Drosophila melanogaster: one gene and its partners. The protein of the gene in region 3 interacts with the protein of the main gene of each other region in a pairwise test. Each region holds a gene or a part of one and is shown on either strand. Other genes may lie near its edges. The genes, in order: CG42853, CG9825 and Acp65Aa.

Region 1 (3,316 bases), about 12 Mb from region 3:
TCCTCTGTAAATTTGCCGTTTGATCATATTGATTTTGATGAGATGGCACATTTCATCGAGGATCTCGGAGCAAGAAATGACCAGAGTATGGTGCACCTGAAAGTGCCAAAATTTGGCTACGAGGAAATGTTATGGAGATTGGCACACACAAGTCTTCGCGGGCATATTCATTTGGGCGACCACATTGCAAAAAGCTATGAGTGCCTTAGCATCGATCTGGAGCGTTTTCTGGAGGAAAATTATGTACCAAGGGTTTTCGTCAGCGGTTGCCCGACGGACTTTAATCACTATCAAAAGGTAGTTTCCTTGGATCTAAAGGAACTAAAGTGGACACCGACTCCGACCAGGATGCATCTTCGGCAGCTATGCAGCCTCTTGCGACCTCAACACATCCAGGGGATTGTTCAGTTTCATACGGATGGCATTGTGCCTCCCATTCCGTCATTCCTAAAGATCTTCAAGGCAAACTATTCACCGCAGAGTGGTGCAGTGGTCTCAAGGATTAGGAGTGAATTTCAAGCAGGACAGCCGAAGCAAGGACCCTATCACGCTTTCCGGTCCAGAAGGGCCTTTGAATTTGTGAACGATGGCGACGAAAGCAGTAGTTCGAATTAGGTTAAAGTATCTCCCTATTAGAATAAGCAAGTCGTGTAGCTGTTGTTCCGCACAGTGCCCCTAGGAGTTTTATTTATCCAAACGCTTCACAATATATAAAAATAAATTATTTGAATTGTCTTGAATTAATTTTTTTGATCAGTAAGTGTATCTTCGTCGGACCAGGAATCGGCAAGTCGCTCAAAAGCATCAATGTCTATTTCCTCCTTTACTTTAAAGGCTTTAAGATCATCAGCCGCATTCTGGGATTCCTTGGTAATATCACAGCCGAGTGAGAGATCCATCCCTTCTGGTTGCTTTTCAATTAGCTTTATGGTGTCCTCGTTGCACTCTTTTAAGGATTCCATGTCCAATGCATTCTGGGTTTCGGTCGAAGCGTTTACTTTGGTAATTTGATATTGTTTATTAAATTTAGGAAGTTGTACAATATTTGATGAACGTCTATTCATCTCACACATTTTGGGAATTGTGAAGAGTAGAAACAGCCCTGATATTTGAATGAATTTTGTTATTTTCTTTCATTATTTATTAATGATAGACTTACCTAATTGGCCAACAATTAGAAAGTTAATCTGCTTTCCAAGTTTGCTAATTATTAGGAGAAGGCCAAACCACTTGAATGATTTCGAAAAGCTCTTTACTAGTAATATCTCTCGTAGATTATTTAGAAACGCAACAACTTTGGTTGAAACTAGAACACCCAGTTGCTTAGATAACTCCTGGGAGATTCTTAGGTCTATGTCAAGATATTTCGGATAGCTGTTGTTCTGGATATGGGTATTAGTGTACTGTACCAAAAAACGGTACCCCATTGATATGACCATGATAATCAAAGCCCATACGCTCACCACGAACACAAGCGGTTCAGAAAGCAGATCATAAATTATGGTCTGTAGCATTACGAATACAAGCATCGACTTTATCCAGTTGCGCCACAGGATCAGCTCAGTTATTCCCTCCCAGATGCAGATGAGTTTAGCTTCGTTTACCTCCGCACCGGCTCCAGAAACTTGAACAGAGTTCGCGCTTGTGGCCATATTTTTTTTTTTTTTGAGTTTTTAAGACCTTTAGTACTGAGAAGATATACAAATTACAAAAACTTGGATACGATTGCAACGACAGTAAACTATTCGAATACTAGATTATATTTGTTTTCTATACCCATCACGCGTAGAGTACTAGATTTGTTGAAAGGTTTACCTTTCAGATGGATTCTTTATATTCTTGATCAGGATTGATGGGCTAGTCTATATGTATGTACAATATATACTTATGGCTGTGTCAGTCTGTCCGTCCGTATAAACGTCGAGAGTCTGTGAACTATTAAAGCTGAAAAGTTTAAATTAAGCATGCAGCTTGTTTCACATCCACACATTATTAAATTATAATGTGGAAATTATTGAAATTACCACCACTAACTGAGTAGCTGCCAGTTGAGGAGCTCGTATATAAATATATATATTTATATACATCTATATGCTATATAATACGAGATGCATGTCAAGTACCACCGATACAAGAAAGATCCCAACATTTAACCGCCAAAAGCACCTGTTGCCAATTCGTGTCATCTGTTTAAAAATATCCTTTTACATGAATTATGCAAATTATTCATAAATTGCTTTGTCTTTGCTTGGGGTTGTAAATGGGTTTTCGCAGATACATAATTTGATTGAGTTTGAGCTATCCTTTCTATCGCAAGATATTTAACTTCATATTCTATTTCTGTAATCGGTGATAATAAATTCATTTTAGCTTCTGCTTTTGTACCTATTTCTCTAACCATAGGCAATTTATGTTTTTGAAAATTAAGAATTACTGGTCGTATATTTTCTACTTGATCCCTTACTTGAACGATTGTTAAGTCAAACAGAACGCTTTTCAAGATCTCTTTGTCACAGCTTCGTTCGCGTTTGATCCGCACCGTCAACAAGGTCTTTTATTCCAATTCTTGGAGCATCCTGGGCAAATAATTTTGGCACGAGGTGTGACCAACGCCCATTGAGGGTGTGGTTAATGACACTCAGCCTTCTGTCTGCCAAGTCAATCGCTTGCCAATTGATTTGTCAAAGGCATTACGCTAATATTTTGGGCAAATACGGGAAAAAGTCACTGGCGTCAAAATGACATCGAGTGGTTTAACTTTCCACCCTCAAGATTCAGAAAATAAATGACTTTTGGGGAGGGTAGAGAAAAGAATACTAAAATCGGAATAATTTAAATCAATCGTTCAAAAGCTTTTGATCGCTCGCAATTGCTAAAGGGTCCACTTAATAACAGTAGTATATGTTATATATAAAAAACTTTAAAAGAAAATAGTAGATTCAACAAAATATGATGAATATAAAATGAAAACCTTTCAGTTTGTCGTAAAACAAATATTTCCAATATATTAATCCTGTTTAACAGTCCAACTATTCCCATTTGTAATAGACATTTGTTCATCACCCATTTGAGATTACTTGAGAAATCCTCGTAATTTCTGCCGTCTTCATTTAGAATTACTGGAATTAATATGCAAACAGCAAAATCGATGTATTTGCACATGTATGAATGCAGTTTAATTAAACCAAATTCCCCCATAATGCTCACATCACAAGCTGTACAGGATATTAGAATGTTTGACAAGTTGTCAATGCATCAAGATGCAGAGGACAAGGCAGAAAATTGGCCAGAAAATCTTATCGTTCATTTTGAATGT
Region 2 (3,760 bases), on a different chromosome or scaffold from region 3:
TTTCTCTTTGGAATTTTCGTTAATTGGAAAGGATAACGCCTGCATAGGTGGTCTATTGGCAAGTTCCGGGTTCTGTGTCTGCAGATAGTCCTCGGCATCCCAGGGCTGAGTTTCGGCCGTGCCAAACACCAAGTAAATGCAATTGCCCACAAAGAAGATTACGGAGGCAATGATGAACACGATCTGCCATTGGGAGCGATCAGACTGAAAGGAAAGGATACAATAAGCAATTAAAAATCTTTACTTCCTACCAACTTTTGCAAGCACTCACATTTTCCTTAACAATCCATCCAACAACTAAAGGAGTGACTATGGGCACGAAATTCGCCGCTGTATTCACAATTCCCATTAGAATGCTAGCGTGATTTTTCGATAGATCAATTGTGTTTAAAACACTGCCAATGGTTTGAGCACTATTCACGCCCACACTGATGGTCATCAGAGCAATCGCGAAGTTCTTTTGTTCCTTGTCCAAAAAGCCAATGCCCACCAAAGTGGCAGCAGGAATCCAGAAGGCAATGGAGTTGTAGGTCTTTCTCAAAATCGTCAAGGACACCGAGTTCTTGCCCAAGAGCACATCGGCTACGACTAGGTAAATATACGACATGCACCACATGGCCAAGAATGGGAGTGCCGAGAAGAACGCATTGCTCTTCATGTCCATGTCGAGGACTCCGTTCATATAGGATGGGATCTCGGCCTGCAGAGTGCTCAGTCCCCAGTTCTCAGCGCATCGTACTATGAGCAGGGCCAGGAATGGTGCCGACGTCCAAATTGCCTTCCAGGGAATGGGTATAATGGTAGCGTGGTATGACTCATTGTGCTTTAGAGACGACTCAATATAGATCAGTTCGTTCTCTCCTATGAAACGAGATTCCGTAGGATGGTTGGCAGCGAAGACGAACCATAATGTACACCAGAAGAAGGCCACTCCAGCCGAGACATATGAGATTCCGGGCCATCCCAGGGAGCTCTTGGCTATCATTCCGCTCAGGAACATGGCACTCACATTGCCGCACTCGATTCCAGTGTGACTCAGAGCTCCCAACCGATTTCTTTCCTCGGGCGGTGACCATTTAGCCAGGTGCTGATGAATGCAGGGGAATACCACTCCCTGGGCCAATCCCATTAGAACTCGAATTCCACAGTAGGCCTGCCATTCTCCAAATCCGATGAACAGCGGCGTCAAAGCACTGCAGACACCAGATCCGAAGACACCCCAAAACATTACACTCTTGACTCCAAAGCGCTTGCAGAGATAACCTCCAAGGAATTGCGTTAGGATGTAGCCCCAAAAGAAACTGGAGAGAATGTACGACTTCTCTGCCTCCGTCCAATCGTATTCCTAGTAGAGAATCTAGTAAGCTAAGTGGTATTTTCTTGATAGGATCCCTATTCTTACCGGAAAGTTCGGGTTCGTGGTTTCCGCATTGGTCATTGCCACCACAGACACGCCCACATTTAGGCGGCCTATGAATACGGTAGTTATATTGAGGAAGATCAGTAGCGCCTGGACATGCCTCATTCCCAGAACGGGTCCTGCAATAACAAAACGAACTGGTATTATCACTGTTACTTCCTGTCTACAAACAGTTGGGTAAATAAGTCTGAATTGCTCTTGAGACTCGGTTATCGCGCCATTATTGTAGTAATTTATGACCACTCAATGCGTGTGCGAAAAGCCCAGAAATCAGACGGAGTGCAAGGTCTGAGCCATGAAGGGGTTTTCCACTGTGTCAAGTTCGTTGGGTGTCAATTCATTCACAAACTCTTATCCGAACCGAAGGATTTCCTTTCACGCACCTTTGTTTGTCTCGGCCGTCATTTTTGATTTGGTCAACAAAACACCTCCTGACTTCTTTTAAACGACCGATCGGAATCACTGTGGGAAGTTAAGTGAGTGAGACCACGAACATAGAGTGGATTTAAATCCAAATTGAATTAGACGATAAGCCAAATGTTGCTTATCTGATACGACACGTCAGGTGATAAGGTCATACAGCGGGCGAATTTAACCATTGAATTAAAAAGCGTCATTAAAAAATTGTTGTACTTTACAAACTAGTTATTATGTCATTAGTCAGAATATTGTAAATCAATCAATAAATCATTATTTTCATCCATTTCTACAATTCTAGTAAGGATTCTGGCACGATTCGGTAAAAGATAGATGCCACATAAGCAACATGGCCTAAAATGTTAGCGCCAAAAAGAATGCATTGCTTTTTCATGGCCATATCGAGAACCCTTTTTCGAATAGGTGGGCATTTCGGCCTTCAGGTTACTTAGTCAAGAAAGAAGCCAAGGTTTTGCACCTTTAATAGTTAATTTTAGATATCTTGACGAAAATATCCTACCTGCAGTTCCTTTTCTACTGTTAAACGAGGTTGTTTAGAACAGCATTGCCTGGTCGTGTGGCGTTCCAAAATCAATTGGTAATATCAAGAGTAGTTACTGCCATACCATTATTGGATTGATTTATGGCCGCACCTTTGGTAAATTTGACGACTTTTGATAAGCAAATAACGCTCAAACATTTTAATTCAAACAAATCGTTTTACTTATACGTTTAATAAACAAATGAAATGTACTGATGTAGATCTTAAATCTTATTAAATTTAATAATAATACTCTAAATTATTTTGATTGCTTTGTTGTTTTAAATAGTTTCTATGTTAACTGAAGACTTAAGTGCTATCGATAGAACTTCAATTCAAGGACTTCGTGGAAGGTCATCAATACCTTTACCAGCTTCATGGATAGCTGGAACTTTAGCTAGCTCTGGCACCTTTACTGTGAGGTAGTCTTCAGCATCCCAGGGTTGTGAAACAGCCGTTCCAAAGTATAGGTACACCGAGTTTCCGACAAAAAAAAGTACTGCCGCAATTATGAACACTATCTGCCACTCAGCACGGTTATCCTGAAACAATCAACAGAAAGTCTTCTTATTTATACTTATTTATCACTGCCCTGTTTATAAACACTAACAGTGCAAACTTACGTCTTCATGAACAATAACTCCAACAATCAAAGGGGTTACTATAGGCACTACAGTAACAGCCGTATTCAAGATTCCCATTAGAATACTCGCATGATTCGGGGATAGATCTATGGTGTTCAAGGAGCTTCCGATTGTTGCTCCACTGTTGACACCGACACTGATGGTCATCAAAGCAATTGCCAGGTTCTTCTGCTCCTGATCCAGGAATCCGATTCCAATCAAAGTGGCACAAGGAATCCAGAAGGCCAACGAGTTGAAGGTCTTCCGGAGGGCCGTTAAACTCAGCCTGTTTCCGGCGAGCAGAACATCGGCGATTATCAGGTACACATACGACATAATCCACATGGCCAGAAATGGTAATGCCGAAAAGAATGCATTGCTTTTCATGTCCATATCCAGAACTCCGTTCATATAAGTTGGGATTTGGGCCTGGAGGGTGCTCAGACCCCAGGTCGCGCAACAACGCGTCAGCGTAAGAGCAAGAAATGGTGCCGAGGTCCAAATCGCCATCCATGGTACGGGAATTACGGTCTTGTGATAGTCCTCATTGTGCTTCAGAGACGATTCGATATAGTGGAGTTCTTCCTGGGTTATGTAACGAGATTCCACTGCATTGTCAGCGGCAAAAACGAACCAAATGGCACACCAGGCGAAGGCTAATCCTGCGGAGACATATGATATTCCTGGCCAACCAATGGCACTTTTGGCTATCATTCCGCTCAAGAACATGGCACTTACATTGCCGCACTCCATCCCAGT
Region 3 (3,356 bases):
ACCTGGTGTCCGATGTCAATGCCGATAGCTATAGCTACAAATTTGAGACAAGCGATGGCACCAAGCAGGAGCAGCACGGCTCCCTGAAGAGCCTTGGTCCCGAGGAGGATGCCTTGCAGGTGGCCGGATCCTTCAGCTTCGTAGGAGACGACGGACAGACGCATGCCATCAGCTACGTGGCCGATGAGAACGGATTCCAACCCCAGGGCGAGGATATTCCCCACCTATAAATCGGTGTATGATGGTAATTAAAAAGGTCTTCTAGTTGAAAACTAGAAATCAATTGGAAAAACAAGTCATTAAATCGAAATAGGCTCAGAAACCATAATACTGAATAACCTTTTATCGTAGCTCAGTTTAAATAAAGAATAAAACCAATTGTTATGTTCCTTAAAAATATTTTTAAGATTAGTACCTTCGTAAATTTTTTAGATGGAACATCTTGTATATTGATCATTTTGAATCAAAAGAAATAAAAGTGTGAATTTTCATAGCTAAATACGATAAAATAGAAAATAACTCTGGTACTTCGTTATAATTATAAAGGAAAGTTATCTAGTGCAGTTTCATATTTTGAATGACCCTTCCCAGAACTGGTGACTTACTTTATGGGTTCCACAAAGAAAACATATTTTTTTCGAGAATCGAAAGTTCGGCTTTAATGCGAGTAACAAGGAAAATAGAAAACAATGCACGACACTGACTTGACTGACTGATCGACTTACTAACTGACTGACCGATTGGCTGCCACGGGACAAGGGACAGCTCCTCCGGACAGGACCTTAGCACCTCACTGTATGGCTGGTTGGTTGGAATTGTGGGTTCATTCGGGAAGGTGGTATTTACAGGATCTCCTCGAAAGCGGAGGTCTACTTGGGCAGATGGGCACCCTCCGGCTGAAAACCGTTCTCGTCGGCCACAAAGTTAATGGTGTAGGTTTGGCCATCGGGAGCCACCCAGGTGACGGATCCCCGAATGGATATGGATTCGTTGTCGGTGCCCGCGTTGTTGACCACGCCCTCCTCTGTTCGACTGGTGCCATCGCTCAGTTTGTAGCTGAACTTGTAGCCGCCGAGGCCGGTGTTCTCCGATTCGTACTCAAGAACTTCCACATCATTTTGCGGCCGGGCACTGGCCAGGGCCAGGAGAAGGGCTATCGAGCCAACGACTAGCATCTGCAAGGCGGTAAGAGATTAGGTATCCTTTTGCGTATCCTGGTTGGGCATGGTGCGCCTCGTTTATCCAAGTTCACCTACCAATTTCATCATGTTGAGCGGTTCTCGAAATTGCAGATTCTCCTATGCGGCTGGACAAACTGGCAGTTGTCTAATGGTGGCGTTGCATCGGCGTCCACTGCATTTTATACTGCACTCGCGGCTGCATTTGCAAACGTCATAAATTTGCACAATTGTGGAAGAAGCCAAGCAGCTCGCTAGTTCAGCAGCTCTGGCGGTCGCCGGCTAAATGTTTTCCACTATTTCCATTTTGTTTTTGTTTTTTTTGTGCTGTTTTTCAATTGCCAGCGTTGCACCAAAGTCGCCAAAGTCGCTGCGACAAGTAACATTTAAAGCGGCTTTGTGCAGCGGTGTACTCATCCGAAAGGTATTATTGCTCTTCACCCACACTCGAAAAAGCATTCTAAGTTTCAGGGCGATTCTGTGAGAATAGTTATCCACAATCAATATGTCTTCATATTTTTAACAAGAAACCAAACATAAAAATAAGCATGTTAAAACTAATGTAGTTAGAACATAAAAAATATTTATTTAAACCTATAACACTTAATCATTCGAATATCTTTCGTTTTACACCCACACTAAAACCACCTTTCGAAGTTTTAGTGCAACTCATTAAGTACTTAAATCTTAATTGAAATAAACAAAACAATTACTTGAATATAATACCACATTTAAGATGTACTGACATTTTCTGTCAGTGCCGACTGGTAGCTTTAGAAAACTCGAAAAAGTTCATGAATCAAGCAGATGCATTGGGGAAAAGGTTGCGGTTTGATTGGGCAGCTACGGGGAAATACCGGGCCAAGAACTATGGGAAACAATAACCAGAACAGCTCGTCAGATGGGCCCAGATCGAACCGAAATCGACGACATATTGGTGGCCCAAAAGAGACTAAGTTCAAGTGCTGTCGCCGCCAATTGGCAGGGCAGCAAGTTCAAGCCGCGGACACGAAGAACACGAGCTGAGCCATGTGTGATGGCCAAAGTGCACGATGGATGAGGCTGTGGATGGAGATGGAACCGCAGGTTGACTTTTGGCATATGCAACGGCCTTTACAGCGCTCGATTGATGTGCCTGCCCGGTAACAAGAGCCAAAAGCAGTTGGAAATATATATAAAAAATACATCGAATAACCTACAACTACGGCTCGCATGCAATTTAAATCTCTGACTCTTGCTTTTTGTTGTACTTTTAGCATTTTTTTTTTAATTTAGTTTTTAAGTCGCCGTCGCCGGTGCTTGCCAATTTATGCCACCTTCGTTGACCGCTAGCAGGCCGATGAAGAAGCCCCAGCAGCGGATCTTTCAAGCCGGTCAGTCGGGTTTTAACTTTGGTTATCGGTCGGCCTCTGGTCAACCACGGTTCTGCCCCAGCCTCCTCCTCCACTTGAATTGAATTGTGCCAATTGTGACTTAATGTCTGACCCATCGACAGGGTGTTGTGCACTGATACTGGCATTTCCTCAAATGTCGTTGAAAATCACATCATTTTGGTTGATTTTTTGGCAGCTGCAATTTGGCATTTTGCCATTCTTAACTTGCTCGTTAAAAATCATGGAATTGGTGACATCCGAGGAATGTTATCAATCAAATAATATTGTCCATATAACATGTAAAGAACGCATCAAATAAGCAAAGCGTCTTTGCAATCAAAAGCAAAAGCAGACTCAACAAATTTCTGTTGTCATTGTTTATTCAGCAAAATTGCATTACATTAATACAGTGTGAAAATTACTTATTGTTAGTCAAATGTGTAACTATAATTTTCTGATTAGACCGCAAATGGAAAAGTTGTTAATATGTTAATTGAACGAGAAAGACAAGTATATTAAAGAAGAGAAAAAACGATGGGTTTTTGCATGATTGAAATCTTTACAAATAAAATGTCACATGAAACATCAAACTTAAGCGCTTAAGTTTAATACTAAGCAAGTTCATATACAATGTGGTTTCCATGAAATTTCAGCCTGATTTATTTACCCAGTCCGCCTACAAATTGAACTTGAGGGCATTCGGGGCCCTTGAAAATGGATCTGATTCGTGGCTGCATAATATTTATTATTTGGGTCTTTTCCGCAGCTTTTCGAGGGCATCTGCATCGAGCTGCATTTATCATGC

What was found.
Region 1: the proteins of Acp65Aa (region 3) and CG42853 interact in a two-hybrid assay, tested with the Drosophila melanogaster proteins (one large-scale study listed by BioGRID).
Region 2: the proteins of Acp65Aa (region 3) and CG9825 interact in a two-hybrid assay, tested with the Drosophila melanogaster proteins (one large-scale study listed by BioGRID).

What each region holds. Positions count from the first base shown.
Region 1 is NT_037436.4:18,120,276-18,123,591, forward strand, and holds CG42853 (uncharacterized protein), read right to left. Parts: upstream 1,715-3,316; 5' UTR 1,653-1,714; coding exon 1,160-1,652; intron 1,103-1,159; coding exon 741-1,102; 3' UTR 657-740; downstream 1-656. Other genes in the region: CG7341 (uncharacterized protein), read left to right, coding at 1-615.
Region 2 is NT_033778.4:22,835,501-22,839,260, reverse strand, and holds the start of CG9825 (uncharacterized protein), read right to left. Parts: upstream 1,901-3,760; 5' UTR 1,826-1,900; coding exon 1,804-1,825; intron 1,540-1,803; coding exon 1,403-1,539; intron 1,346-1,402; coding exon 272-1,345; intron 205-271; coding exon 1-204. Other genes in the region: CG12490 (uncharacterized protein), read right to left, coding at 2,714-2,920, 3,002-3,760.
Region 3 is NT_037436.4:6,151,412-6,154,767, forward strand, and holds Acp65Aa (adult cuticle protein 65Aa), read right to left. Parts: upstream 1,335-3,356; 5' UTR 1,269-1,334; coding exon 1,257-1,268; intron 1,176-1,256; coding exon 870-1,175; 3' UTR 639-869; downstream 1-638. Other genes in the region: Lcp65Aa, read left to right, coding at 1-230.